Linked DNA regions of Oryctolagus cuniculus. The protein of the gene in region 6 interacts with the protein of the main gene of each other region in a biochemical or structural test. Links are inferred from orthologs where the notes say so. Each region holds a gene or a part of one and is shown on either strand. Other genes may lie near its edges. The genes, in order: TEC, SH2B3, SRC, GRB7, PTPN6, KIT and MPDZ.

What was found.
Region 1: the proteins of KIT (region 6) and TEC form a complex in vitro, tested with the Homo sapiens proteins (2 studies listed by BioGRID and IntAct, with this or other methods). The link is inferred for Oryctolagus cuniculus from reciprocal best matches to the Homo sapiens genes KIT and TEC.
Region 2: the proteins of KIT (region 6) and SH2B3 form a complex in vitro, tested with the Homo sapiens proteins (2 studies listed by BioGRID and IntAct, with this or other methods). The link is inferred for Oryctolagus cuniculus from reciprocal best matches to the Homo sapiens genes KIT and SH2B3.
Region 3: the proteins of KIT (region 6) and SRC form a complex in vitro, tested with the Homo sapiens proteins (3 studies listed by BioGRID and IntAct, with this or other methods). The link is inferred for Oryctolagus cuniculus from reciprocal best matches to the Homo sapiens genes KIT and SRC.
Region 4: the proteins of KIT (region 6) and GRB7 form a complex in vitro, tested with the Homo sapiens proteins (3 studies listed by BioGRID and IntAct, with this or other methods). The link is inferred for Oryctolagus cuniculus from reciprocal best matches to the Homo sapiens genes KIT and GRB7.
Region 5: the proteins of KIT (region 6) and PTPN6 form a complex in vitro, tested with the Homo sapiens proteins (2 studies listed by BioGRID). The link is inferred for Oryctolagus cuniculus from reciprocal best matches to the Homo sapiens genes KIT and PTPN6.
Region 7: the proteins of KIT (region 6) and MPDZ form a complex in vitro, tested with the Homo sapiens proteins (2 studies listed by BioGRID and IntAct, with this or other methods). The link is inferred for Oryctolagus cuniculus from reciprocal best matches to the Homo sapiens genes KIT and MPDZ.

Annotation. Positions count from the first base shown.
Region 1 is NC_091433.1:41,420,261-41,424,338, reverse strand, and holds the start of TEC (tyrosine-protein kinase Tec), read left to right. Parts: upstream 1-1,278; 5' UTR 1,279-1,336; coding exon 1,337-1,390; intron 1,391-4,078.
Region 2 is NC_091452.1:8,856,855-8,860,978, reverse strand, and holds the start of SH2B3 (SH2B adapter protein 3), read right to left. Parts: upstream 2,801-4,124; 5' UTR 2,671-2,800; intron 1,701-2,670; exon of another isoform or gene 1,560-1,700; intron 1-1,559. UniProt on the Homo sapiens protein: Links T-cell receptor activation signal to phospholipase C-gamma-1, GRB2 and phosphatidylinositol 3-kinase.
Region 3 is NC_091442.1:21,177,336-21,180,835, forward strand, and holds part of SRC (proto-oncogene tyrosine-protein kinase Src), read right to left. Parts: intron 2,156-3,500; coding exon 2,123-2,155; intron 1,421-2,122; coding exon 1,322-1,420; intron 1,209-1,321; coding exon 1,105-1,208; intron 1-1,104. UniProt on the Homo sapiens protein: Non-receptor protein tyrosine kinase which is activated following engagement of many different classes of cellular receptors including immune response receptors, integrins and other adhesion receptors, receptor protein tyrosine kinases, G protein-coupled receptors as well as cytokine receptors.
Region 4 is NC_091448.1:22,659,110-22,663,171, forward strand, and holds the start of GRB7 (growth factor receptor-bound protein 7), read right to left. Parts: upstream 2,801-4,062; 5' UTR 2,603-2,800; intron 1,278-2,602; exon of another isoform or gene 1,174-1,277; intron 1-1,173. UniProt on the Homo sapiens protein: Adapter protein that interacts with the cytoplasmic domain of numerous receptor kinases and modulates down-stream signaling. Promotes activation of down-stream protein kinases, including STAT3, AKT1, MAPK1 and/or MAPK3. Promotes activation of HRAS.
Region 5 is NC_091440.1:102,590,789-102,594,288, forward strand, and holds part of PTPN6 (tyrosine-protein phosphatase non-receptor type 6), read right to left. Parts: intron 1,013-3,500; exon of another isoform or gene 843-1,012; coding exon of another isoform or gene 835-842; intron 742-834; coding exon 619-741; intron 434-618; coding exon 239-433; intron 1-238. UniProt on the Homo sapiens protein: Tyrosine phosphatase enzyme that plays important roles in controlling immune signaling pathways and fundamental physiological processes such as hematopoiesis.
Region 6 is NC_091439.1:109,621,477-109,625,575, forward strand, and holds the start of KIT (mast/stem cell growth factor receptor Kit), read right to left. Parts: upstream 2,801-4,099; 5' UTR 2,786-2,800; coding exon 2,434-2,785; intron 800-2,433; coding exon 518-799; intron 1-517. UniProt on the Homo sapiens protein: Tyrosine-protein kinase that acts as a cell-surface receptor for the cytokine KITLG/SCF and plays an essential role in the regulation of cell survival and proliferation, hematopoiesis, stem cell maintenance, gametogenesis, mast cell development, migration and function, and in melanogenesis.
Region 7 is NC_091432.1:176,108,203-176,112,212, forward strand, and holds the start of MPDZ (multiple PDZ domain protein), read right to left. Parts: upstream 2,801-4,010; 5' UTR 2,631-2,800; exon of another isoform or gene 2,455-2,630; intron 1-2,454. UniProt on the Homo sapiens protein: Member of the NMDAR signaling complex that may play a role in control of AMPAR potentiation and synaptic plasticity in excitatory synapses. Promotes clustering of HT2RC at the cell surface.

The DNA.
Region 1 (4,078 bases), on a different chromosome or scaffold from region 6:
AAATGGCTGGGACGGCTGGAGCTGGGCCAGGAGCCAGGAACTTCTTTCGGGTCTCCCACATAGGTGCAGGGGCCCCAGCACTTGGGCCATCTTCCACTGCTTTCCCACGCACAGTAGCAGGGAGCTGGATCAGAAGTAGAGTAGCCGGGACTCAAACCAGTGCCCATATGGGATGCCGGCACCGTAGGTGGTGGCCTAATCTGCTGTGCCACAGTGTTGACTCCACGTACACACATATTAAGTACTTTATCCTGTGGTGGCTATCTAAATGTCGGTATCACTTATTTATGTAAAGTTGGCTTTCAGAACTTCTCAATAAAATAGAAAAAATTAAACAGTGACTTATTTTATAGAATATGATTTCTCAGATCATGGAATTTTCCACACATGATTTTGAGATTTAATGCTCAGCCATCATCCCCAACGGAGAACTGTTTAGTGTGAGGATCTCTGGGCAGGGGAGGTATGGTGAAGGGAAACGGAGGGCTCTGTAAAGTACTGTACTTCTATTCAAAGCTTTCAAAAATTCTGGAATGTCTGTGAAACCATTCTTCAATCCTAGAAGGATTGAAGGGTTCCAACATTATTTTCTTGTTTGTTTCTAAAGGTTTGGACCTCATGTATGGAATGGAGTTTTGTCCCCTCATGGAAATGTGTTTTTGATTCTGTAATTGAATACAAATAGACAAATTGTTTTAGCTGAAATTTATCTTAATTTCATCTATTTGCTTAGAATGCATCTAGTCTATAAAGTGAAGAATATAAGTAATTGTCATTTTCCTGTAACTAAAGCTATTGCTTTTCATTTTAACTTCATTCCTACAAAGTAAAGGATTCCTAAAATACTCAAAATTAAAACTCATGATGGGGTTTTAATTCTCAAACTGACTCAGAACTCACTATAACACTTTTGAATATGAAATAGTAAATGTATACCAGTTTTACTTTCATTTTCTATTTGTGATTCTGATCAAAATTAAGATTAAAAAATTTCATGTGCATTTTATGAGTAAGGAATTGTTAAGATCAGAGTGTGAACACCTGTTTTTATACATGTATTGGCATATTTCTAGCTATCTGTCAAAATTCTGTTCATATATTGTCTCCTCTTTGAAGTGGTTCACAATACTTTGAAAAGGGGCCATTGGTTCCTTTTCAGTCATCACATATTAGTGATTCTTAGGGGATATGAAATGATTTCAAGATAATCTGCACATATCACTTTTACATTTAACAGATTGTAATGTTGCCCCCCCCCCTTTTTTTTTTTGAAAGGCATAGAGACAGAGGAAGAGAGAGGGTGAGAAAGAGACAGAAAGCTCTTGTCACTCTTCAAATGCCTGCCGTGTCTGGTGCTGGGCCAGGGCTGAGCTGGGGCCAGAGCCAGGAGGTGAGAACTCAGTCCAGGTCTCCCACGTAGGAGGTGGAAACCCGGTTACCTGAGCCATCAGCACTGCCTCCAGTGTCCGTGTCAGGAAGCTGGAGTCAGAAGCCAAAGCTGAGACTCAGAGAGGCACTCCAGAGTGGGAAGTGGGTATCTGAACTGCTGTGCTAAATGCCAGCTCCTGCTATTTGTTTTTAAGTAACTCCCATGCTTCTCTAAAGATCCTATCTTGTTCATCTTTGTAACCACCTGAATGTCTCATGTGTTTTTCTTTCTAAAGATATATTTTATCTGTGAAATGCAGAGCTCCAGAGAGGCAGAGGCAGAGAGAGAGGTCATCCGTCCTCTGGTTCACTCCCCACATGGCCGCAATAGCTGGAGCTGAGCTGATCGGAAGCCAGGAGTCAGGAGCTTTTTGCAGGTCTCCCACAAGGGTGCAGGGCCTCGAGCACTTGAGCCATCTTCTACTGCTTTCCCAGGGCACAGCAGGGAGCTGGATTGGGAGTGGAGCAGCCGGGACATGAACTGGCGCCCATATGCGATGCCGGCACTGCAGGTGGCGGCTTTACCCGCTACGCTACAGTGCCAGCCCCCCATGTATTTTTTTTGATACATGATAGCTATGTGTAAATGACAGAATGAGTAAATACATGAATGTTGGAAACTGTTCCTATGGGCAGCTTGGCTCATGAACTGAACACGGTAAAAGGATGGGTGGGTGAGAGAGAGGAAATATTTGGGGTGGGAAGAAAGTTGACAGGGGTTAAAGGTGAATGAAGTAAGAGTGATGTAGTCAGGAATACTTTAGTGTATGAGCATGTCTTGGTTGTTTCTCTAGTGCTATGTAAAACACACCCCAAATTTTCAGCACACAAAAGCAACCAGTTCATACATTCTGTAGGTTGAGAATTAGTGCACAGTAGAGATGTCTTGTTTCACTTCTACAGAGTCTAGGCTCCTACTTCAGAAAACTTCCGTGGCTGGGAATGACTTAAAGGACTGGGGGCTGGAGCCATCTGAAGTGTTCTCACCTGGATGTCTGCCTTCTGTGCTGGCGTGATTTAAAGGCTGGGCTCAGCTGGCATTTGCCACTGGATACCTCCATTTGGGTTATCTATTCGGCAGGGGCTTCTTTATGATGCCTGGCTTCCAAGAGGAACCATCCAAATAACCAGAGAAACCTGGTTATGACTAACCCATGGGAACCAGGCAGAGCTAATTGGCTTTCTATGACCTGGAGTCCAAGGTCACATAGTATCAGTTCTGTTGCACTGTTTCAGAGGAGCCACAAGCCCTCTCAGATTCAAGGTGAGGAAACATAGACCTTAACTCTTCATGGGAGGAGTATCAGTGAACTTGGAGTGATTTTGTTTTAAATACTGGACCAATTACAATGATGGGTAGAGAGAAGGACAGAAGAGTACATTGTCAATGTACTTCATCATAGGTAGGACATATGAAAATGTGTCTGGACACTATCAAAATAGTAGTTAGACTGTGGCTTATAACCATGACATTAAAAAAATGGGAGGCAGAGAGGGAGAGAGGGGGAGAGGGGGAGGGGGGAGAGAGAGAAGAGGGGGGAAGAGAGAGAGAGAGAGAGGGAGAGGGAGAGGGAGAGAGGGGGAGGGAGAGTGAGGGAGCAAGCAGGTGTGCTCCCATCTGTTGGTTTACTTCCTAAATGCCTCCCCTGGCTGGGGCTGGGCCAACTCAGAGCAGATCTTCCATGTGGATGGCAGGAACTGAATTACTAGAGTCATCAACACTGCCTCCCCTGGACTGCACTGACAGGAAGTTGAGGTTAGGAGCCAGAGCTGGGTATGAAACCCAGTACCTGGGGCTGGTGCCGTGGCTCACTTGGTTAATCCTCCGCCTGCGGCGCCGGCATCCCATATGGGTGCCAGATTCTAGTCCCGGCTGCCCCTCTTCCAGTCCAGCTCTCTGCTGTGGCCCAGGAGGGCAGTGGAGGATGGCCCAAGTGCTTGGGCCCCTGCACCCTCGTGGGAGACCAGGAAGAAGCACCTGGCTCCTTGCTTCGGATCGGTGCAGTGCTGGCGATAGCGGCCATTTGGGGAGTGAACCAATGGAAGGAAGACCTTTCTCTCTGTCTCTGTCCCTGTCTATAACTCTACCTGTCAAATTAAAAAACAAACAAACAAACAAAACCCAGTACTCTGTTGTGAGATGGGGATGTCTTAACCACTAGGCCAAGAGCCTGATCCCTATAACATTTTTTTCAATGTAGCTTGTAATTTTTATTTGTTGCAAAAGATATATGAGAATGTTTTCTAGAAATTAGCTTTTTATTGGTTTATTTTTTCCTCTTAGAGATCAGGTAAATAACAGCTTGCATTTCAGTCTGGGAAAAATATCTTCATTTTTTTTTAAAGATTTATTTATTTACTTGAAAGTCAGAACAGAGAGAGGAGGAGAGGCAGAGAGAGAGAGAGAGAGAGTGAGTGAGAGAGAGAAAGAGAAAGAGAGAGAGAGGGAGAGGTGTCTTCCATCTGCTGGTTCACTCCCCAGATGCGCCAATCTGAAGCCAGGAGCCAGGAGCTTCTTCCGGGTCTCCCACACAGGCGCAGGGGCCCAAGGACTTGGGCCATGTTCTACTGCTTTCGCGGACCATAGCAGAGAGCTGGAACAGCTGGGACTCCAACTGGCACTTATATGGGATGCCGGCAGTGCCAGCGG
Region 2 (4,124 bases), on a different chromosome or scaffold from region 6:
TCCCCCGGGGAAGTGTGTCTCTCTCGTGCCGGGCGGGAGGACGCGAGGCTGGGCAGCCCTGTGGCCAGCAGGACCACAGAGTCCCGAGAAGGAGGCCGAGCAGAGGTGACCTGGGCAGCAGCGAAAGCCAACCCCAGGCCCTCCTGTCCCCAGGCCGCACCGCCCTGGGTGCTCTGCGGATCCGCTCAGCCAGGGTGCCGGCGGTCCTGTGGTGGGTGCAGTCGTCAGACCCACTTCCTAGCGGGGAACGGAGGCCAGAGCCAGAGAGCGCCCTCCCCTCACCCTGCCCGGGGCTTCAGGACTCTCCCAGAGGGCGCCCACGGCCCACAGCCGGTAACAGCGCTATCGCCGGTGAGGCCGAGACGCGCGCGGCCACCTGTAGCTGAGCGGCAGGTGCCTTGCTCAGGCCGCAAACCTGTCAGCCCGCTGGACAGAGGGAGACCACCTGCCCGCCCCCGCTCAGGGGCGGAGGACTCAGGCGCCGGCCCCACCAGCCTCTCTTCCTCCTCCGCCGGCCCAGGCCAGCCCCTCCCCAGCGGCCCTGGGGGACCGGCCAGGAGCACGCACCCTGCGGCTCAGCAGGACTCTCCCTCCCACTGGGGGCTGTGGGAAAAGGCACGCAGCGAGCAAGCAGACCGATGACCGACCGCTCGACCTCCCTGCGGGCTGGGGGCCTTGGCCTCTGGTCCCCTGAGCCGGCTCGCCCCCATCAGGGCCAGGGCTCCAGGTCCCCGGGACGCCCTGGACCCGGCTCCACTCCAGCGGCCGGGTCACCGATGGGAAATCCAGACCTAACCCGGCCCGCGCCCCCCGGGGACATCCCCCTGCCCGCCGCCCCGGCAGGAGCCCGAGGCCAGGCTGTAAACGGGAGGCAGCCAGGTGTCAAGGATGCGCCACTTGGGCCGGCCCTCCCTCCCCCCTCCGCGGCCCCAGCTGCAGGCACTGACCTCCCCACCTACCTCGCAGTGGCCCGGGAATGGGGAAGAGAAACAGGAGAATGAGGAAACTGTAGGGAGCCGAGCGGCGGGCGGCCGGGCGGACCCCTCCCCAGTTCCTCAAATGCAGCCCACAGCCGCCCGCTGGTGCCCCCCCAGGCCGACACCCCCTCCTCGGCCTGGTGGGGTATTCCCTGGGAGTCTTGGGGGGAGGCCGAGGGTGGTCAAGGGGCCCCGGTTCCAGGACCCTAACCCGTGGGCAGTGCAGAGCGGGGCGGGGGCATCCCCCAGGCAGGGCCTGGGCTCCGGGGTCGGGGGGGTGCTGCTCCCTGCACGCGCGCACACGGCCTCAGGCTGACGCTTTCTCCCCAGACGGCGCCGACCCCGACCCCAGCCCCGACCTCGACCCCGACCCCGACCCCTCCTTCCCGGCTCCCGCCGAGGGACCGCTGTGCCTGGCCGGCTGGGCTGCAGGTAGTGGGGAACCCGCGGAGGGCCCTCCCTGCCTCGGCGCCCCCCGAGTCCGAGCCGGGCACGCTCAGGGCGGCTGAGGGCGCGCAGGGCCGGCCCCGGGGCCTCCCCTGCCCCGGGACGCCCCCAAGCCCGGCGGGCAGGCGGGCTTACCTGAGAGAGACGGGGCACGGGCCCGGCCGGCCCATGGCGTCGCGCGCCCCGGCCCCCCGAGACCTCGAGGGGGCGGGCGGGCCCCCGCCCCGGGCGCGTCGGCTCCTCGCTCGCCTCTCGCTCGAGCGGGGCTCAGGCAGGAAACCCCGGCTCGGAAGATGGCCAGAGCCTCATCATTTCCGCCGCCAGCGCCTGACAGTTGCGAGAGGATGCGCCCCCGGGACGCCGCCGGGACAACTTCGCTGCGGCCGCCGTGGCCTCCGCGGGCCGCGACAGTCCGGGCGGGCGGCCGGGCGGAGGCGGTGGCCCGGGCCCATGCCGCCCCGCGCCGTTATGTAAAGAGGAACCGGCTGTGCGAGCCGAGCCCGGCGTGGGAGGGCGGCGGGGCGGGGCCACGGGGAGCCACGCCCCGGCGAACCCGCGGCTCCCGGAGTGGGCGGGCCTGGAGGGGCGGGGCCGCCGAGAGCCACGCCCTGGCGAACCCGCTGCTCTGTGGAAGGGGAGGGACCAGGGGCGGGGTCCGAGGTGGCCCCGCCCACTGCCCAGCGCCTCCGCGGGGGCCGGGCCCTGAGATCCGGAGGTGCGAGCCCGGCGGGAGGCGGGGGTCTCACCGAGCCACGCCCACAACTCACCCACCAAATTTCGCGTCGCGCAGCCTAAAGAAGGGAAGGAACGGCGGGGGGGGCGGGGCAACCCGGGTCCCACCCACCCCACGCCTGCAGGCCACAGGGCGCCGCGGCGTGGCGGGGGCGGGGCCAGGCCGGGAGGCGGGGCCTGGGGAGGGGCCGCCGAGCTGTGCGGCCTACAGGGGGCGCACCCACCGCTGTCTCCCGCCCTGAGGGCCTTATCGCCGCCTGCCGGGCCCGGCAGCGCAAGATCAACCTGGACTTTCATCATCGCCTGGGGAGGGGGCCCAGCCCGCCCGCTCCCGCCTCTCCGCGGCTCCGCAGAGCCGACCCGCCTCGGCCTCAGCGCCCCCAGCCTCAGCACCGCTCTGCCGCGTCCCGAGCGCCTGAGCCCAGCGCCACGCCACTACCTGGCCGCGCCCCCCCTCCAGGAAGCCTTCCTGGACTGCTGCCCCGGGGCCTCTGCTCGCCCCCAGGCTACTCACATTTCTTCTAGGGCCTCCTGGAGCCCAGGCCGACCAGGCGGGTCTCCCCGGGGCGGCGTGGAGGTAGCGCAGCACAGGGGCGCCGGGAATGGCTGCGCTCCCCTCCCCCAACAGGAAACCAGTCGCCCACGCCCCCACTTGGAGGGGCCCGGTGCTCCTCCGACCCACCGCTCGTTGGCCTGGGCCGGACGAGCCGACTCCATCCCTCGAGGCCGAGGTGAGCGCGCGCCCGGCGCCCGGGCGGTCGGGGAACTGAGCGGCCCGGGGTCCCGCCCCCCGCCCGCAGGAAGGGGTTCCCCAGGTGGTGGGGGTTTCCAGCCCAGTGACCTTGCAGACCCGAGAGTGTGCTGTTCCAGGGACGTGTTGAACACCTACTTTGTGCCGAGCACTGTTCTAGGTGCTGGGGGCCCAGCAGGGGCAAAGCCAGTACCCCTGCCTTGCGGTGAGGGGACACGGGGCGCTCGGAGACCAGGAAGTGGCTGGGGGAGGGGCAGCTCCCGCTGTGGCCTGGGGAAGCCGCGGGGACGGCCCACGTGCTCGGCCCTGCACCCGCCTGGACACCCGGCTCCTTCGGGCATCTCCGCAGAACCAATGCTGAACAGGGCACCTGCCCGGACAGGGCCCCAGGCCGTCCGGGGGAGGGGAGGGCAGGCGATCCGGGAGCAGCAGGTGCGGGGGTGAGAGGGGAGACGGGAAAGGCAGGCCCGGCTCGCGGGGTCCCAAGGGCCCCGGGGGGAGGAGTCTGGGCCGCGCGCAGCCGCCCCTCCGAGGGTGCGGGCAGGAGGACCCACCCTGGCGACCCCTGCGGGAACCTCCGGCCTCTGAAGACGCGGGGCGAGGGGGGAGGGGGCCGAGGGGTCCACACTGACGGCCTCAAGCCGCAGGTAGGCTGGGCCGCACGGAGGCCGGGAGAGCAGCCGCTTCCCCGCGCCGCACGGCCGCCGGGGCACCCCCAGCCCGTGCCAAATGGCTGCTGCGCCGCGCCAGCCGCAAGCACTTTCCCTCTCGCCGCCCAGACGGCAGCTCCGCTGACTTAAACGGGGACTTGCGGTTGTTCCCCTTTTAATCAGGCTCGGGCCCGGCCCCTGCCGGAGCCGCTTTCCCTCGGACAGGCGCAGGGTTCCCACCCACGCGCGAACCGCCCCGCCCCGCGCCGCCGGGGAGCCGCGGGTGCGCCGGGCAGAGGGCGGAGCGGGGGCGTCAGGTGCAGCTGAAGGGGCCAGCGCCCGGGGCCTGGCCGCTACGCGGGCCGGGGAGCCCCGGGGCCAGTGGCCACGAGCGAGTCAGTGTCCCCGTTCCCAAGGCGGGAGTAAGGACCACCGAAGCAGCAGTGGTCAGTGCCATGAGCGGACGGGCGGCCGAGTTCAGCACAGCGCTGCGCGGTGATCCACGCTGCCACCGTGCTTATTAACATAACAATAGCAACGACAGCCAGAGGGAGCCACAGAGGACTG
Region 3 (3,500 bases), on a different chromosome or scaffold from region 6:
TTTTCTGGGAGTCTGGGAACGGCCCCCGCGGTTATGCGCCCCTCGCTCCCAGGTTTGCCCTTGGGGACACAGTCCACGCCCGGCCCCTTCTGCAGACAGGTCAGGCCCAGGCAGGAGACCACGTGCTGTGTGTGGCCAGACGGTGGCCCTCCTGGTGCCCAGCCTGGCTGGCAGCCCATGCTACCCTTGCCCAGGAGATGCCTGGCCGGTGTTGGGGGCAGCACTGGGTCCTGGGGGCAGAGGCCTTCTCTGGGGCCTGGCAGGCAGTTCCCGGCCACCGAACTCCCAGGGACGCACTCAGGCAGGTAACACCCGCGGTGCCAACACAGCATGCGGCTACCCCCGGTCGCTCGGTGAGTCAGGACCGAGCCGGGCCTTGAACCGCCTCCTGAGTGTCTTGTGACTTTCTGCAGGTGGCCTGGGCCAAGGGCAGGCAGGAGCAGAGGCCCGAGGCTGCAGCTGGCAGTGACCGCCACAGGTGTGTGCACACGCACATGCACACACACACAGGTGCACACACCTGCTGGCACACCCACACCCAGCAGCCACACACTCCCCAGGCCCCCAAGCGTGAGGACGAACCCACAGTCCCAACCTCCACATGTGCACACACACACACATAGGCACACACCTGCACAGGGGTGCCCACGTGTACAAAGCCGCCTGAGGGCTCAAACGCACACACCTGGCCTGGATGCTCTGCCTCCCTCCTCCCCTCCCAAGGAGGGGCGGGGCCAGGACTGGCCAGGGAAGGCCGAGGCCGGCTCCCAGCACTCACTGCAGCCCCAGAGGCCCCTGGGGAAGGGGAAGAGAGGGCCCCCTGCATCCGCACCCATTCTGGGAACAAACCTGTGCTGTGACACTTGGACCTCATGACAACCTGGGCCCGTCCTCATCTGATGAAACTGAGGCCACGGAAGTCTCGTCTCTCCTCTTGCTGCACCCCGTCTCCCACCGCTGACTTAGACACGCGCCTGCCTGACTTCTGTCCTGCCGTTTCATCCTCTTCCTTCTCTACCCCCAAACTCCTATTCATTCTGCAACACCCAGCCCCAAGAACCCACAAAAGACTCAGCCTCTGCTGGCCAGCAGGAATGCTGCTACCTTTCGTGGTCTCACTCTCGCGCACCAGGAAGGTCCCTCTTGGGTTTTCTGCATTGAGCAGTAACCGCTCCGACTCCCGCCTGGTAATCTTGCCGAAGTACCACCTGGGGAGGGAGGGACGAGCGGTGAGCAGTCCAGTTTCCGCCAGCCCTGGACCCCTCAACCTCGCCCAGCAGTCCAGGAGCAGTGGTGAGCAGACGCCCAGGAAGATACTCACTCCTCGGCCTGGATGGAGTCGGAGGGCGCCACGTAGTTGCTGGGGATGTAGCCGGTCTGTCCCGTGCTGAGCGAGTGGGCCAGCCACCAGTCTCCCTCCCTGCACAGGGGAGAGCACGGAGCCAAGGGAGCCGTCAGCAGCCAGCCCAGGGCCGCTGGCTTCCTGCAGTGAGCGAGGCTGGGACCAGGGGAGCTCTCGCATTGCCCCATGGAGCTGGCCTGCAGCCCCCCTCCCAGGCCAGAAGGCAGCCAGGGTCTCCGTGCACGGAGCAGAGGCCAGGCCTTTCAGAAGGGCGCTCCTGGTCCTCGGGGGCAGGCAACACTGGAATGGGAGAGAAGACTCCCGCCCAAGAGGAACGTCAGGTTCCACCCTCCGAGTCTCCCCCAGCCCTGAGGTTCAGAAGCCAGACGCCAGGAGCTGGGGAGACCTGGGTGGAGGCCAAGGGGCACCCTTAGGGGCAACCCAGGCCCCAGCCTGCAGAGCAGAGCAGTGCTTGCCTGTCACAAACCATGGCTCACGCCTACAGGGTCCTCAGCCGCAAACTACAGGCCCCTCCTGCAGCCTACCCATCTGCCACGGGAAACTGAGGCCAGAGGGGGCAGCGACTTGCCCAAAGTCACACAGCGATCTCGTCAGAGGGGTCGAGGTGGCGCAGCCCACTGCCCAGGCCCCTTCTGTACTAACTGCCCCAGGAGGAGGAGGAAGAGGAGGAGAGGAGGAGAGGAGGAGAGGAGGAGAGGAGGACGGGGACAGGGGCAGGAGGAGCCCTGGGACCTGGGGAGGGGGTAGGGGCGGAAGTACCTTTGCAGCCATCTGAATGTGAACCAGGTCTGGCTGGAGCGGGGGTCCAGAGACACAGAGGAGGGAGGAGAAAGCGAGAGCCCGACGGGAGAGAAGAGGCAGAGATGGGGGTGGTGAGCGGCAACGAGTGGCAGAGAGAGCGAGGGAGGGGGCAGAAGAGCCAGGCGGGGCTGGGGACAGAGACGGGGCAGCCACAGAGGCCTCGCATCCAAAGCAACCCACAGGGCGGGGCTGGGAGGTCGATGGGCAGGGCAGCCCGGGGACTAGGGTTCAGCCCCCATCCTATTCCCACTGTACAGATGGGAAGACTGAGGCCAGGGAAGCAAAGCACTCTGCTCAAGGTCACACAGCCAGCCCCAAAGGAGGAGGACCCCTCCCTACTGGGTGAGGAAGGACCTGACAGTCTGCTGAGCTCTCGTCAGTACAAGGCTGTCTTGGACGTCACCTTGGCCCTGAATGACGCCGGCAGGATGCGCCCACCGCCACCGCCACACAGAAATACAGAGGCCCCTCGCCTGCAGTCACACGGTCTCCACTCGAACCAGGACCCTTACTCCCAGCTTCTCTGAGCTGCCCCTGGCCATACTCTTCGGCCCGTGTTAAAGATGCAGAAGTTGCGGCCAATGCAGTGGGGGAGGGATAGGGCATTTGATGCACTAGTAAAGATACCACTTTGGGATGTCCACATCTCGTATCAAAGTGCCCAGGTTCAAGTCCCAGCTCCACTTCCGAGTCCTGCTTCCTGATAATGCACCATTGTGGGTGGCAGCAGCTGATGGCTCAGGTGGCCGGGCCCCTGCTACCCACAGGCGAGACCCAGATGGAGCTCCCAGCTCCCCGCTACCCACAGGCGAGACCCGGATGGAGCTCCCGGCCCCCCGCTACCCACAGGCGAGACCCGGATGGAGCTCCCGGCCCCCCGCTACCCACGGGCGAGACCCGGATGGAGCTCCCGGCCCCCCGCTACCCACGGGCGAGACCCGGATGGAGCTCCCGGCCCCCCCGCTACCCACAGGCGAGACCCGGATGGAGCTCCCGGCCCCCCGCTACCCACAGGCGAGACCCGGATGGAGCTCCCGGCACCCCCGCTACCCACAGGCGAGACCCGGATGGAGCTCCCGGCCCCCCGCTACCCACAGGCGAGACCCGGATGGAGCTCCCAGCCCCTGGCTTCGGCTCAGCCCAGTTCTAGCTGTTGTGGGCATTTGGGGAGTGAACTAGCAGATGGAGGATTTCTGTCTCTACCTTTCAAACAAATAAAAATGATAAAATTTTTTAGAAAGACAGTACCAGGCTGGAGGACTCTCTGAGGACTCATGAAGGGGCAGTGAGCACCCCAGGCCCCGGGAAGCCCCGTGTGTGGAGCAGGGTGTAGGGG
Region 4 (4,062 bases), on a different chromosome or scaffold from region 6:
CACACACACACACGCGTACACACACACACACTCAGAGTGGGGCGAGCGCCTGACACTTCAGTGAGGGCAGAAGGGAATTTGGGGGGCAGGTGAGCCAGGGCGGGGCAGGATGGCACTGCCTGGGACTCTCCATGCAACTTGACTCATCTGCACTTCCTGGCTGAGGAGAAACGCAAACAAGGCTGCACCCCTCTCCCCTGTGCTACCGGGGGAGGGTGGGGCGGGACGGAAGAGAAGGAGGATGCCGGCTGGAGCTGCCTCTGACTGATGTCACCCTCTCCTCCCCACCCCTGGCCCACCTCCAGCCCAGGTGGGAGCTGAAGTCTGCCCACCCTCAGCCCCAAGCCACCACCTGGCCCGGGAGGGGGAGAAGAAATGCCAGGCCTGGATTGCGAGGTCATCTGGAATGGAGCTGACTTCCCAGCTGGGGGGCCCCTGCCCAAGAAAGCTGGGCTCCCAGCCCCCGCTGCCCCCTCCCCACACCGTGGGTCTGGCCCTGGTCCTGTTGCTAGGTGTCCCTGGTCCAGAGGACTTGTCCACATCAGCCTGGGGGATGAGGGTCCCCATAACACACCCTCTGGACAGAGGGAGCCCATCAGTCTGCACGTGGAAACCCCAGGAAGGCTGCTCAGAGGAGGTGGCTCCAGCCTTGGGACCTCAGGACAGCAGGAATGGAAAGGCCCAACACCAGAGAGGACAGAGCAAAGGACCCCAGAGAGAGCGGGGCGGGAAGGGCGAGCCACACTCCCCACCCAGCGTCCCCAGACACCAGCGCCCCACTCCCACCCCCCAACCTCGGACAAACCCCAGGAATTCGCTGCAGGAAGACTGGGGGAGGGGCTGCCGGGCTGCGCCTCCCCGCGAAGTCCGAGGGCAGCAGCAGGGATCCCCAAGAGCAGTGTTGGGGGCGGGGGACTGAGGTGGGAGGGGTCCAGGGCCTCCGGCAGACTGGCCGAGGCCGAGGCTGGGGAGGGGCGGGAAGGCAGAGGCCAGCTGGGAGGCCTGCGCTGCCCCCTCCAGCTGCCGCTGGAGAAAGCCCCCAGACCAACTGGTTCCCCAACCCGGCAGCTCCAGGCCACCGCTTCCCGGGCTGCCTCCCTGCCCTAACCGCGCCAGCACCACCCTCCTGCCACCCTCGCCGCCTCCTTGTTTACTTCCTGAATCTTGCCCCACCTGGCTGGCCCCAAGGGCAGGGGGCAGGGCCCGGTGTTTAGGGCGGACAGAAAACAAGGCCACCGTCCGAGCTTCCCAGGGCGGGGGGAGGGGCTGGGGTGTGGCGGGCGGTCCCCGGGGGGGCCCGTGCTCCCCGCCCCACCCCCACCGCTACAGAATGTGGTGGGGGAAGCTTCACCTTCGGGGGAGCTCCTAGGGCCAGAGACCAGGTGAGGTGGGAGACTCCCCGGTGACCTGCAGTTGAGGGGAGGACCCAGGGCCCCTGAGGCCCCGCCCACTCCCTCACTCGGGAAAAACACCTACTGGGGGGGCACTCTTTTAAAGTTTAATTTGGGAAGAATGCTAGAGTCTCCCGGGTGGAGTTAATCATTATTGTGCACTCAAGGAGGTCCCTCCCCACAGAGCAGGATGTCAGCGGGAGACAGGCGGGCAGAACCCCGCCAGGCCCAGCCAGGGCCGTCCTGGGGGCCCAGGGTGCAGCCGGGCAGACAGGTGCATGCTCTGTCCCCACTCTACCAGGGAGACCGGGCTCCGAGGCTGGGTCTCTCCCCAGACTCATCAGACAAGACCACCTGCCCTTCCCTCCTCGCCCAGACCCCTCGGCACCCAACCGGACAGCCCGAGGGCACCATGGGCCTGCCTGCCCCCCACCTGCCCCCCACCTGCCCAGGCAAAGGCAGTGCGCTGTGTCCCAAGCAGGGACTGCAACATGGAGAAGGAGCCCCAGTGACCAGAGTCCCTCTCCTGCACCGCCCTCCATGGTGGGGGCACCCCTAGTCCGACTGGCTGAATAGATACGTGGGGAGGGGACCCAGATGGGGCAGAATCGGGCTGAGCAAGGGCGTGAAGGCAGCTCCCTCGGGATTCAGACCCCCCCCCATTCTAGCTCTTTCTCTGTGTATGGGGAGGGGCCGGTTTCAGCGGGAAAGCTGGAGGAGAAAAATCCCAGACCTCCTATCCCCACAAACAGGTCTGTGCATGTATGGGGGAGGGGGCGTGCGGAGAGAGGAGGAGGAAGAGGACAGGAACCAGAAATGGGGCAAGGATGGGAAACCGAAGGAAAAGAGAAAGTGTGAGGTGGTCTGAGTGGCACAGCAGGGGACCGAATCTTCTAGAATTACCCCAGACCTGCCCGTGCAGCCCACCTCTGGATGAAGCACCTGCTTTGGTCCTTAACTGTACCCAGGGCACTGGTACACCTGGCTGGGGCCACTGGTTGGGGGAGAGAGATGCCAGGCCCTTAACTACCTGTCCCCACCCCCCACCCAGCGCCCCCCCACAAACACACACACCCTGCTCCTGGCCTGACATCACCGAGCAGACAAGGAGGGCAGTTGGCCAGCTCGGACAAGATGGGCACAGCCTGGGCCCTGGTGCGGCTGAGGGTAGAAGCGAGTGGTCGTCTGAGACCCGATCGTGGTCCCTTTACCTGGAGGAGCCCCCGCAGGGGTGGCAGGACACTGCGTGCAAAGTCTGGCTCAGCCTCGGGCCCCTGGATTTCAAATTCACTCCCGATTCCCTGCGGGTGGCAGGAAGATGTCCCGACTTTGGCCGTAGAAGTCGGGGGAGAAGGAGGTAGCCCTGTGTGTCCAGATTCCAGGCCCAAGGAAACTAAAATTATCTTGGGCAGGTGGGGGCGGGGCCTGGGGGAGGCGCTTGGGAGAAGGAAGCACAGGGAGGGGGCGGAGACTCCTGGGCTCTCTGAGGGCTGGGCTGGGATTGTTTTCGCCCTTTCCTAGCCCAGCGACAGGTGCCTGGGGAGAGGCAGGGAAACCTGGCAAACAGAGCAGCCTGGAAAGCCGAGATCAAGAGTCCCGACCACTTGGGAGGGAAGGTTTGGGGGCTGGCAGAGAAAGGTGAATCTGGGCCCAATCTGCCCCCGTAGGCCGAGCAGGGAGCCCGTCCCCAGCTCTGAACCAACCCTCTGGAACAAAGGGCACCCTGAGAAGGAGGGAGGCAGCCAGGGGAGTGTCCAGCAGCCTATCCTGGCCTCTGACCTCCGGCCACGGTCTGGCCACCTAGGCTGTGCCCTGGCTCCTCAGAGGCGCTCAGACTCTGCTCTCCCTCCCGAGCAAAATCCAGGGTCTCATCTCAGCTGCCGCCTTTTGAATCGAAGGGGCCAGGCAGGGTTGCACCGTGGGAGCAGCCACCACCATCTAGGAATTCTGGCTCGCCCAAGGCACTGCTCTGAGGGCCAGGGCTTTAGACTTCTCCCTCGGCACTCGGCAAACAAGGGTAGCAGGAGGGGGGCGAGAGGCAGAGATCAAAGGCGGCAGCCACCTCCCAGCTTGATGAGGGTGACAGTTGGAAAAACAAACAATCCTAGGGGTGATAAGAGACCTGCCCTGGGGGAGCACGGAGGGGTGGCTGTGGCTTCAACTTTCTCCCAACTTTGGTTTTCCTTGAAAAACCAGTGGAGGGGAGGGGTTGGAGGAGCCAAGAGGTGGGGGAGGGGCAAAGGTCACCTGGTGCGGGAAGGCACCGCAGCCAATTCAACTGTTGAGCCCCAGGTGTCAGCCCTCTGCTTGGTGCTGGGGATGCTGTGGGGAACAGCACAAACAGGCCCCGCCCTTGTCCTCATGCTGCCCACTCAGGGAGACCACCCTTATCAAAGAACCATACACATAAGATAGGACCAGCTCAGCAGGTGAAGCCTGCAATGCCAACATCCCATAGGAGCAATGGTTCAAGTCCCAGGGGCTCCATTTCCAATCCAGCTCCCGGTTGATGGGCCTGGAGAAGCAGCAGAAGATGCCCCATGTGCTTGGGTCCCTGCCATCTACACGGGTGACGTGGATGGAGTTCCAGGCTCCTGGTTTGACCTGACCCAGCCACAGCCATTGCAGCCATTTGGGGAGTGAACCAGTGGATGGAAAGCCACTCCTTCTC
Region 5 (3,500 bases), on a different chromosome or scaffold from region 6:
CACTGGGTTGCCCGGAGCCCAGCTCACACAGCTCGCCTGTAGGGGCCCGGGTCATAAGCAGGCAGATTCAGTTCCACAGAAGGGAAGCTTTCTAACAATGGGCTCGGCCGCCACGAGGGGCGGCTTCCTGCCACCAGGAGGACCCCGGTGAAGGGCAAGGCTGCAGCATAAGAGGGAGAAGCGGAGCCCAGAGGCCTGAGCCGGGGCGGGCCAAAGGGGCCGGCTGCAGGGCCCTCACCTCTCGCTAGTGGGGTCGGAGCAGTTGAGCGGGTACTTGAGGTGGATGATGGTGCCGTCACGGTCCTGCAGCACGCCCTGCTGCTGTGTGTAGTACTCCACCAGCTCCGTCAGCGTGGCGAACTTCTCCCCTCCATACAGGTCGTAGAAATCCCCAGAGTTCTGGATCCGAATGTGGGTCACCTGGTCCCCGACCCTGCAGGGCACCAGCCGTGAGGCCAGGCGTCTGGCCCCCCGGGGAACCCATGGGGAGGGGGCCTGCGCAGGTGTGGGGGACGGGGTGGGGGTGGGACAAGGACACAGCAGAGGCACGGGGCCAGGGGAGCAGGGAATGAGGGCTCCAGGGGCCTAGGCCAGTGCAGCGTCGCTGGGACCACCTACCTGACAGACAGGGAGAAGTCTCCCTGGTTCTTGCGACTGGGCCGAGCCAGGAAGCTGCCATGGACGCCTCGGCCCTTGAGCAGGGTCTCTGCGTCCAGCCCACTGAGGTCCCGGTGGAACCACCTGGAAGGCCGGGCAGGGTGGTGAGGAGAGGTCCCTCGGCCGCCCCAGAGCACCCCCATCTCCCACCCTCTGACCGCAGCTCCCAGCGCTTACCTCACCATCCTGGGGGCTTCCGGAAAGCAAGGGGCAGCAGGGAAGGAAGGAGGGCAGCCTCACACAGGCCGGCGGAGCACTCTGGAGCTAAGGCTCAAACTGGGCTCCAAGCGCCCGGCCGCCTCACCACCCACCCCACGGTGCGGTGCCGGGGCTGGGGCTGCCGCTGCACTGGCCTGGCGCAGCCAGCAGGGCGGGGACAGGAAGGGGCGCGGCCGACCCCTTGGGGGAACTCACTTGACTTCTCCTTTTAGCATAGAGCAAGAGAAGAGCGGGGTGACATGGGATGGGGGCAGGGCCCACTTCCCACACGGCCGCCATCTAAGGCTCAGGGGCATGGCACTGCGGCAGATGGGACAGCTCATGAATAGGGGGCCCACGCACGCCTGGGACACCTCATGGCAAAGAATTCTGCTTCCTGCCTGGGAACCTGCCATGGTCTCCTCTTCCTCCATCCGCTCCCTGGCCCACGCTAATACGCTGTTCGTTCATGGGGCCTCACTGGGCTTTGCGTGCGCTCCCAGCAGCTCTAGGACACAGGCGCCTGCTGCGACCCCACTTTGCCAACTGGGAACCGGGGCTGTGGGAGTGGAAGGATTGGCCCAAGGTCATCCAATTAGTCAAGTGCCAGTGCCGGGACTGAAACCCAGACTGGCTGCGTCCCAAACCAGGAATGGCAACCACTGCACACCAGCCCTGGGGCTTCAAAGAACAGAGGCTGCGCAGCTGCTTGACCCAAGGGGCTGCTGTGGGGTGCCGAGATGCTTGAAGGGGGGAAGCGCGCCCTCCCTTCCTAGGCCTTCGATGGCAGAGGGATGGACACGATGACCCTGTCAAATGTGGGTCTTTTCTACTTTTGGTCTCCAGGCCTTTACCCTATCCCAGAGCCTGGGAGCCCAACTCCTGGGGACTGGGGGCCGGCTGACCTCCAGCGACCCTGAACACTAAGATTATGATGACCCCTGCACGGAACTCCAGGTGGCAACACAAACCCCGCCAACCCCGAGTGAGAGGAGGGCTCAGCAGAAGACGCACAAGGGCCTTGTGGGGGTCTCCCCCGGAGAGGGAGACCGGGCGGGGAGCACAGGGCTGGGGACGACACAGGCCTCTGCCTTGCACCTTTCTGGACGCTGTGCAATGGCTTTACCGTTATCAAAGCTGATGCCCCGTGGGTCCGATGCCTGCATCCCAGCTCCACTCCTGACTCCAGCATCCTGCTAATGCAGGCCCCCAGAGGCAGCAGAGGAGGGCTGCAGTGGGTGGGTGCTGCCACCCATGAAGGAGATCTGGATTGAGTTCCCGGCTCCTGGTTTTGCCATTTCAGGTATTTGGGAAGTGAACCAGCAAATGAGAACCCTGTCTATCCCGGCCTCTCAGATCAATCAATGTCAATTGTAAAAACAAATTTTTGTAAAGTGACGGGAATACGGCAATTTCTGGGGAATTCATGGGCAAGCTGGGTGTTTGCACGATGCTTAGCATCAAGGTCCCTTAAGTGTTAGTCAGACCTCAATTTAAAAATAAGGGAGGCTGGCACCGTGGCTCAATAGGCTAATCCTCCGCCTTGCGGCACCGGCACACCGGGTTCTAGTCCTGGTTGCCCCTCTTCCAGGCCAGCTCTCTGCTGTGGCCAGGGAGTGCAGTGGAGGATGGCCCAAGTCCTTGGGTCCTGCACCCCATGGGAGACCAGGAGAAGCACCTGGTTCCTGCCATCGGATCAGTGCGGTGCGCCGGCTGCAGCACGCCGGCTGCGGCGGCCATTGGAGGGTGAACCAATGGCAAAAGGAAGACCTTTCTCTCTGTCTCTCTCTCTGTCACTGTCCACTCTGCCTGTCAAAAATAAAAATATATATATATATAAAAATAAGGGAAACGTGGGAGACGGAGAAAGCTCCTGCCTCTTGGCTTCAGATCGACACCACTCTGGCCATTGTGGCCATTTCAGGAGTGAATCAGTGGGTGGAAGACCTCTCTCTCTCTGCCTCTGCCTCTCTGTAACTTTGCCTTTCAAATATATAAAAATAAATCTTTTTTTAAAAAAAAAAGGAAAACAACATATTAAAGCCCAAAAGTTTAATTTCTACAGACAACTACTTTCTCGTTTTTTGGAAATATCAAATGTGAATTATTTTTTTCAAAAAAAAAAAAAAAAAGGTTTTCCTCTTTGGGTTTCTCCTCTTAGGTGTTCTGGAGAATCTTCGTGGTCTGTTTATCACCACGAATTCCCAGGAGCTTGCTCCTCCCACAGGGGGGAGAGCAGGTGCAAGGCTGGCTCCACCCCAGGGGGTCCCTGGCCTCCAGCTGCGCAGCGCCAAGCACACTTGGCACAGGACAGTGTCCCCCATGGACCACGGCACCAAACACTGCAGTCCTGGCAACCAACGCAGCTCCTGACTGCCCCTCCCCCAACCCTGCCTGTCCTGTGCAGATGAGGACAAGGACACACACAGATCCACTCCCCACGCCTCATCCTCCACCCCTGGTCTGGGGCAAACGTCCACACACAGGCATGACCCTGACCACACAGTTTTAGGAGCGGGCTCAGCACCAAACACCGCTAGCCCCTAACTACCAGCCCCCTGCCATGGTCTCCTTCAGGGCTTACATCACCTGGTGGGAACCTGACCCATGGAGGAAGAGGAAGCTCTCTGAAGGGTGTCAAGCCA
Region 6 (4,099 bases):
AAAAAAAAAAGAAAGAAAAAAAAAAAAAAAACCTACTGAACAGCTGGTGTTGAATCACATGGCCTCTGAGATACAGAGACCTGGATTATCCCAGCCACCAAAACACTGCAGGATGCCACATGATGACAAGTTCACGGTCAGCTTGCACGTTCCTCCCCAGGCCTCGCGCGGTCCCAGGATGCATTGCAGTCAACCAGCGGGAGAGAGTGCAATAGCCAATCAAAACGAACAACTCAGCTTTGCCAACAGTGTGGTGGGAGCTGTCCAGGGGGTCTCTGGGAAGCAGCACTTGATGCAGGCACAGCCGGTAATGACCGTGCCCAGCACGGATGCCGGTCCATGGCAGACGCACCTGCCTCGGCTAGAGGTGGCCGTGGTCCAGGGGTGCGGGGCTGGGCCTCTCCAACAGAGGCTCCACCAGCACCGGTGCTCCCGCGAGGCTGGGGAACAGCCCACGGGGAGGGGCCAGCGCCCGCGGGCCGACCCTCAGGGAGAGGAAGGAGGGAAGGGGGCCCACCTGCTCTCACTTTCAGGATGAATTTTTCCGACTGCACGGTTGTGCCCTCGCGGTCGGCGGCGCAGCGCAGGCACAGCCGGTGGTAGGCGCGCCTCACGTTCTTGATGGTGATGCCGGCCTTGGGGTCCGGGACGAAGGTCAAGTCCTTGGGGAGAGGCTTCCCCTCGCACTCCTTGAGGGTGTAGTTGGTCACGTCCGGGTCGGTCAGCGGACAGCGGACCAGCGTGTCACTGTCTTCTCGGCCGTACAGGGGCAGGCCCACGAGGAACAGCTGCCGCGGATCTACAAACACATTGGGCGTCAGTGGCTTGCGCGGCTGTGCTGACACGGCAGGCAGCGTGACAGCCAGAACTGGAGCACATGCAAACGGGACTGGCGAGAAAGAGTTAACACGCCTAAGACACTTTCCACGAGCCGGGCACTAAGCCTGAGCCACCACCCATTTTTTTATCTTATTTAATCTTCCATAGGCCCCTGTGTGATGGGTGCTGCCGGCCGAGAATCTCCGACGGAAACACTTGGGACCAGAAGTGTTTCATAGTTCAGAGACGTTAGCATTTTGGGATATTTGCATAAACTTTCCTGGCTGAGCAAGCCTAATCCAAAAATCTGAAAGCTACAGGGCCGGCGTTACAGTACAAGGGTTAAGCCAAGCCGCTGCCTGGGACGCCGGCATCCCATAAGAGCAGCAGGTAGAGTCTGATCCAGCTCCCGGCTAATCCCGTGCCCCAGGTGGGAGACCCAGTGCAAGCTCCTGGCTTTGGACCGGCATAGCCCCAGCTGTTGGGGCCGTGTGGGAAGTGACCCAGCGAATGGTGTGTGTGTGCGTGTGTGTGCATGTGTGTCTCTGCCTCTTTCACTATAACCCTGACTTTCAAATACATTAATTAACCTTATAAAAATAAAAGACCCCCAGAGCATCTGAAGATAGCAAAGCTGTTTCTCCATAAGAGGTGACAGCACAGGAGTGGCTGCAGAGGGGTAACAACCAGGGTGACAGTGACAGCTGCTGTCGGGGAGGAGCCCCGGAACCCAGTGCAGGCAGCGCGCGAGCCCCTCTCTGCACGTCCTCCTGGGCCCCGTGTGGGCAGGGCTTCCGCAAACCCCGTCGCTGCAGACCAAGGGGAGGGGGCTCATCGGTGTCAGGAATGAACGCAGGACAAACGCTTTCTCGTCCGAGCCGGGACTCCCGTGAGAGCTCGGGGAGGCCCCGGCTCAGTGGCACAGCACAGCCCGAGCAGAGCTAAACAGTATCTCGTCGGCGCCCGTCTCTGGCCCACTGCCCACTCAGGCAGGACAGGACTCCTGGATGTCACGGCCAGTTTGCAGGTCACAGGGCGTGCACGCATCTGTCACTCGGTGAGGACGACGGAGCAGTGAGCTCACCCGGGCACTGCAGGGGGCGGCTCAGGGCTCCCACCGAGGACAGTCACCCCCATCACTTGTGCAGGACCCCCTGGCTAAGGCCTCTCGCCTCGGGTCTGTTTCAGTGTCAGCTGCGATCCACACCCACTCAGGACGAGAAGTCGTCTCCCAAGCCGTCAGCTACCAGAAGACACACCCCTTCTGGCAAACCTGGTCTCTACAAAGATTTGCAAAGAGCAAACACGGGCGGGCGAATTAGCCACAGGAAGCGAGGCACAGACATCCACCTGCCCTGTGTCTTTCTCTTTTGTTGCCAAGAGGTCACGATTTTTTAAGTGAATCAACTTTACGGGGCCAAGGGACTGAGCAGATTAGCAGGAAGAGGCTCACAGCCCCCGTGGCCCCCAGCCCCAGAGCCAGTGCCAGCCAAAGACGGGACAGAGAGAGGCCTCTGTCTCGGGCATCTCGACCCAGCGAGCGGGCGACACTCCATCGCTCCGGCATCTGCGTGTCAAGATCAAGGGCAGCGTCACGGAAAGCCGGGCACTCACCTCTCACGAACACGTAGATGGAGCTGCTCAGGCCGCCCGCGTTGGTGCAGGTGTACCTGCCCGTGTTGGCGGCCTCCGCCTCCTCGCGCGTCCATTGGCTGTGCTCGCTGTCACTCAGCTGACCCAGGCTCTCGAAAGTCCACCTGACGGAGCCCGGGTCGATGCACTCCAGCGAGAACCTGCTGCCGGCATCCACGGTCAGCTCCGGCTGTGCTGGCTGGATGACGGGGGGAGCCGGCTGCCCTGGGCTCGCAGATGGCTGCGAAGAGCCTGCCAAGAAAAACCAAGATCTCGTTGAGTGCGAGCTGCTTCTTTGGCGGAAAAAAAGCATTTCTTCCAACGCGAGCCCCATCTTCTGTGTGCGCTACAATAAAAATAGGACAAGGCTGTCCTGCTATTTAGGGCTGGAAAGAGAGCTCCGTCCAAAGTTTGCTAAGATCATCTCGAAAATCGGGCTATTTTCGGCAACTCGCAATTCTGCTGGGAGTCACACTTGGGGTCCAGGGAAGGGCTAGCTGGATGCCACGGCTCCCCTCGGGTTAAACGCACGGCCGGGCGGCTGCCCTTGGGAATACCGGCTGTTGCCATGGCCCTGACACGCCGCCATCCAGCTCAGGAAGCACGAAAACAAAAATCTCACACCACGAGGGAGAAGAAACAGCTAAGCCACTGGCCCGCCCCTCTCGGCGGGGTGCCCGTGATCACGACACTCTTGGTTTTTTTCTGAAGGCTCTGTGCATCCAGTTGCTTCCACGGAGCTCTCCTTACACGGTAGTGCTTGCTCATTGACACAACTAGCCACGAACCTACACGGTAAGGCAGAAACGCAACCCTGTTTCAAAGAGGAGACCGTGAGATGCTCTGTGGCACGAGTCATGAGATGCAAGCTTCAGACAGCGACCGCGAAACCTGGACCTCAGAAAACTCACACCAGCAGATTTGCGCATCCTCCAATCCGTCTGTGAATTACAACCCGCAGGAGTTGTCACTGTGACCTCACCACGGGGAGAAAACCAGAGGCTGACGCGCAGCCAACCCGCGCAGGAGAGGAGCCCTCCACGGAGCTGGGGAGAAGGGGCAGGGGGCGGCCAGGAGCAGTGGGACGACGGCACAAGGGCGAGGCACACTGGGCCTTGCTGAGCTGGGGCAGGGGCAGGGGCAGGGGCAGGAGCCGAAGGGACGCCCCAGCAGCGGGCTGCTTCCAGCGGGAAACCCCGGTCCTGGCGCAGGACGGTGGTGGCATCGTGCAGGAGCCCAAGGTCGGGCAAGACCACAGCAGGTGCACTGGGGCTGCCCGGGAGTCCATGGGTGCCATTTCAGTCCAGTGGGAATCTGTCCACGCCAAGGTTAAACGGTCAGGCCCCAAGCATAGACTTCTAGGGCCGTGGAAAACCAGAAAACAAACATGTAGTGCGTGGGAGACCTGTCCGCGCGCACACAGAAGGAAGCCCCCGCCAACCGACGGGGCCGGAGCCAAAAGTGTCTTCCCACTTCCTGTTTGCCGCCCGGATAAACACTTCCCCGGAGGCACCAACGGCACAGCTCGGATCAAAAGGCGCCAGCAGCCCTGATGTGCAGGAGATAAGAGCCAGGCCAATTATAACCATTACAGCGTAGTGCGCACCGAGCGCAGAGGGGTCCGGTGGAGGGGACTCCCTGCACCCCA
Region 7 (4,010 bases), on a different chromosome or scaffold from region 6:
TATCAATTTTACCAGATTAAATATAATTTCCCAATTATGTTTACATAAATTCTCTCATGCACAACACTAATTTCCAAGAGAAAATTAATACCTTTCTCGTTTAAATGAAGCTGATAACATAGGGAACAATGCAACAATTTTATCAAATGAAATCCTACTTTAAGCCAAATGCCTATGGTTAAAAGTGCATATACCTGGGAACTTCACCCCTGCACATGCACCAGGAAGCAGTCTGGGAAGTTGTCTACTCCTTCCCTTTAAAGTGTAGGATCTCTCTGGCAGAGGTGTGGTTTGCTCTACTTTATTTGGGGGCATTTCCAGCCCAGTGCATCAACTTTGCCTCAAAACATTTTATGAGAATCATAGAGTACTTCATGCATATTATAAATACACAGAATGGAGCCCACCTACAACTCAACTCAAGAGAGTCAAACCTATGTGTCAGATTTGGGAAGTAATCTGGAGAAAATAATCTGCCTCTAGCTCAGGACAGCTATCTCCCAAGCCAGCTTCTAAATCCCTTAATCCCAGCTCTAAACAATGAGTCCTCTTGGGCCTCATTTGTAAACAGCACTTGCTGACTCTAGCAGCTAAAAACTGACAGTTCCTGACCAGGCCTAAACCAAAGCAAAACTACATTTGTAAGACTTCCATGAATCTCTCTGAGCATCTTCAACTTGTAGAGATACTGTGATCTCTGGGAACAGTTCCTAGTCCCAAATAACTACCTGCATTTAAAAGACATCTGAAATGCAAAGATGTCTTGAAGGGTCAGGCGGGGCCTCGTCCATGTTGCACAAATTTGGAGCACTGTGCAACCTCACTAAACATCTCACCCTTCCCATCAGCCTTCAGTGATCAAAGGAAGGAGTGTGGAACAGGAATACAGAAAACCAGAAACAAGAGAAGGGAGATGAAACGAAGGAATACATGTTAAGAGAGATAGTGCACCTATGACCCACCAGTAACATGTTGGGAGTAATCTTTTTATTTTAGCAAAGGAAGAAGAGCAGGGGAGAATTAAGTGGCCTTCAAAATTAGTGTTACCTAAGTTGGCATGCAAGGGCACTGTGGCATCCAACAAGATGCAGAACTTCCAGGTGTGTTAGGTTTTACATTGCAATCGTTCGCCTATGTTCTAGCAGGGGCTAAGGCATATATTACAGAAATTTAGATAATTCGATCCGTGCAAAAGTTCATAGCATTATAACCCAAGCCGGGTTATCAGAGCACAGCCCTCTGGAATGGAATCAGTGTCCTTAGATGAGGTGCTATTTACTCTATAGAAAGACACCTAAAAGAGCATTGTCTATGGAAGCACTAAGGGGTGTGTACGGCAAGAGCTGCCTGCCAGCACAGAATGACAATTTGGTCACTCTGCAATTTCTTCCCCTCTTGGCAGCCAAAAAACCTGGAGCGGTTTTCCTTCCACGTTGGTGAAGCCTCCCTTATCTGATGACACAGATGAAACCCGAGCCTCCAACCACAGCCCCTAGGCACAAAGCTATGCAGCGCCCCTCGCCATGGTCTCCCCCAGCAGAGCCACTTCAGGAGCTCCACACGCCCGGTCCCGCAGCCCCGAGCCCCCCGCCCGGCGGCAGACTCAACCTCCCACCCTCGCGCCGCCGCTCCTCCACCCCCCGCGGTCCCGGCTTCCATTTCCATGTGATCCCTGGGAGGAAGGGCCGGGCCTGTGTTTCCTCTGCAAAGAATGCAAGCAAAAATGTACTCCATCACCACCCCAGACCCAAGCACAGCCCCACAGGATGAGAAGCATCTCCCAGACGCGGCTCCCCTAGGAACGTCCGGCATCTCGCCGCTGCGAAGTCGTAGACAAAGGCGCCCACCGGCGGGAGACGGGATGAAGGGGGAGGCCAGTGCAAAAATGTCCCAGCCAGAGCGGCAGCTGATGAAAGGCCACGGGCGCCACGGGGTGTGGGGGCGGGTCCCAGCTGCGGGCTGGCCTCGGGGGTGGGGAGAAGTCCCCCGGTGCCAAGGCAAGGGACGCCAGGCTGGGGGCTCTACCCACCCGGCACAGCTCCGCCCTGCGTAACGGGGGAGCCGCAGCAGCGGAGAGCAACAGGCTCCCGCACTCCGGAGGGCCCGGTCCGCGCCCCAGGCGCCCAGGCCTCCAGGAGAAGGAAAACAAAAACTTTGAAACCCTTTGCGACTCCGCGAGAGCCAAAGGAGGGGGTGATTGTCGCGGGGAGAGGAGGCGGCGTGCAAGTAGCAGAGGAAACTTCAGACCCCATCCCTAAAAAAAAAAAAAAAAAAAAAAAAAAAAGAGCTAGGGGACAGGGGCGCCCCGGCGTCGGGCCCCGCGGGGTGGGGCGAGCGCACCCGGCCCCGCCGCCCGCTGCCGAGCCCCCGGGCGGCCGCGCACCTTCCCGGCGGGGCTCGCGCAGACGCGGGGGCGCGCTGCGGCCTTCCGGCCGGGTCCTCGGCGCCGCTTACCCGGCTCGCGGCGGACGCGAGAGGGGCGGAGGGCTGGGGAAGCCGGGATCACCGAGCACTCGGGCTGGCTCGCCTCGCCCACGCACGCTCTCTTCTCCTCGTAAGTAACGGCCCGGCGAGGAGCTTCGGGATAAACGCGCGCACACACACACCCCCACACACACACTCACACTCACGCGTGACCGAGAAACTTAATCCCGCGCGGCCGGCCGCCGGCGGCCAGACGCCAGCCTCGCGCTCCGCCGCTTCGCCGCGCCCCCTCCCCCGGCGCGCGCCGCACTTGCGCCGACCGGGGCTGCCGCGGAGGCGGTGGCGGGGCCAGGGCTGCCGGGGCTGCGGTGACGCCGGCGACCGGCGGGGCGGCGGGCGGCCTCAGCCAATCAGGGGGCGCGGCCCAGCCCGCTGGTCCTGGGTTTTAAACTAGCTCCTGGGCGGCCGGAGGATGAGCGCTCTGTGAGGCTGTGGGGCGCCCAGTTAGTGGATAATTAGGATTTTTGTTTTTAATGATTTTTTTTTTTAGTATAAGTATGACCTATGCAATGTTTGGGATATACTTATACTAAAAAAAAGGTACTTGTTCATCTGAAGTTCGATTGTAACTGAGAATCTTGTTTGTGTTTGCTGAATCTGGCAACTTGTGAGAACTAGTAGCCTTTAGGTGTAGTTTTTGACAGCGTTGTTGTTAGATGCACTGCCCTGGAAGTGCCTTCTGCAGGATAGCTGAAGTGGCGCCGCTCTGTAACGAGCACCGGAGGAGTAATCTCACTTTTTTTTTCTTTTCTTTTTTTTTTTCTTTTTTTGACAGGCAGTTAGACAGTGAGAGAGACAGAGAGAAAGGTCTTCCTTCCGTTGGTTCACTCCCCAAGCGCGCTGATCGGAAGCCAGGAACCAGGTGCTTCTCCTGGTCTCCCATGCAGGCGCAGGGCCCAAGCACCTGGGCCATGCTCCACTGCCCTCCTGGGCCACAGCAGAGAGCTGGACTGGAAGAGGAGCAACCAGGACAGAATCCGGCGCCCCAATAAGGACTAGAACCCGGGGTGCTGGCACCACAGGCGGAGGATTAGCCAAGAGTAACTTTAGTGCATCGATGTGTATTCTTAGATTGATGATCCAATAACAGCTCAAAAACGGTGAACACACAGAAGGATTCACAGTCACTGGTGCCAGGAAGAGCAGATAATTCATTTCTATTTTGCGCCTTTTAATATTGTCTTTCAGAAATTCTCAATTTGAGAGCTCTGTAATTTTATGTGTGTGTGCGCGCAAAGGGAAATCGCTTCCTTTTTCATTCCATATGTCTAATGTTAAAGTATACCATCAGAGGATACTCAAAAGTCCAACATAAAATATTTGAAAGAATTTCTTTTAATATTCTCTGTAAGCCATGTAATTTCGTCAGATTATCTTTTGTATGTCTACTAAAAATCAATTTGCATTTCTCTAACATCAAATATTTAAGGGGAAACTAAGTTTGTAAGATATACAAGACTTCAGAGGGAAATGGATTTTTTAAAAGATTTTTTTATTTATTTGAAAGTCAGAGTTACAGAGAGAAG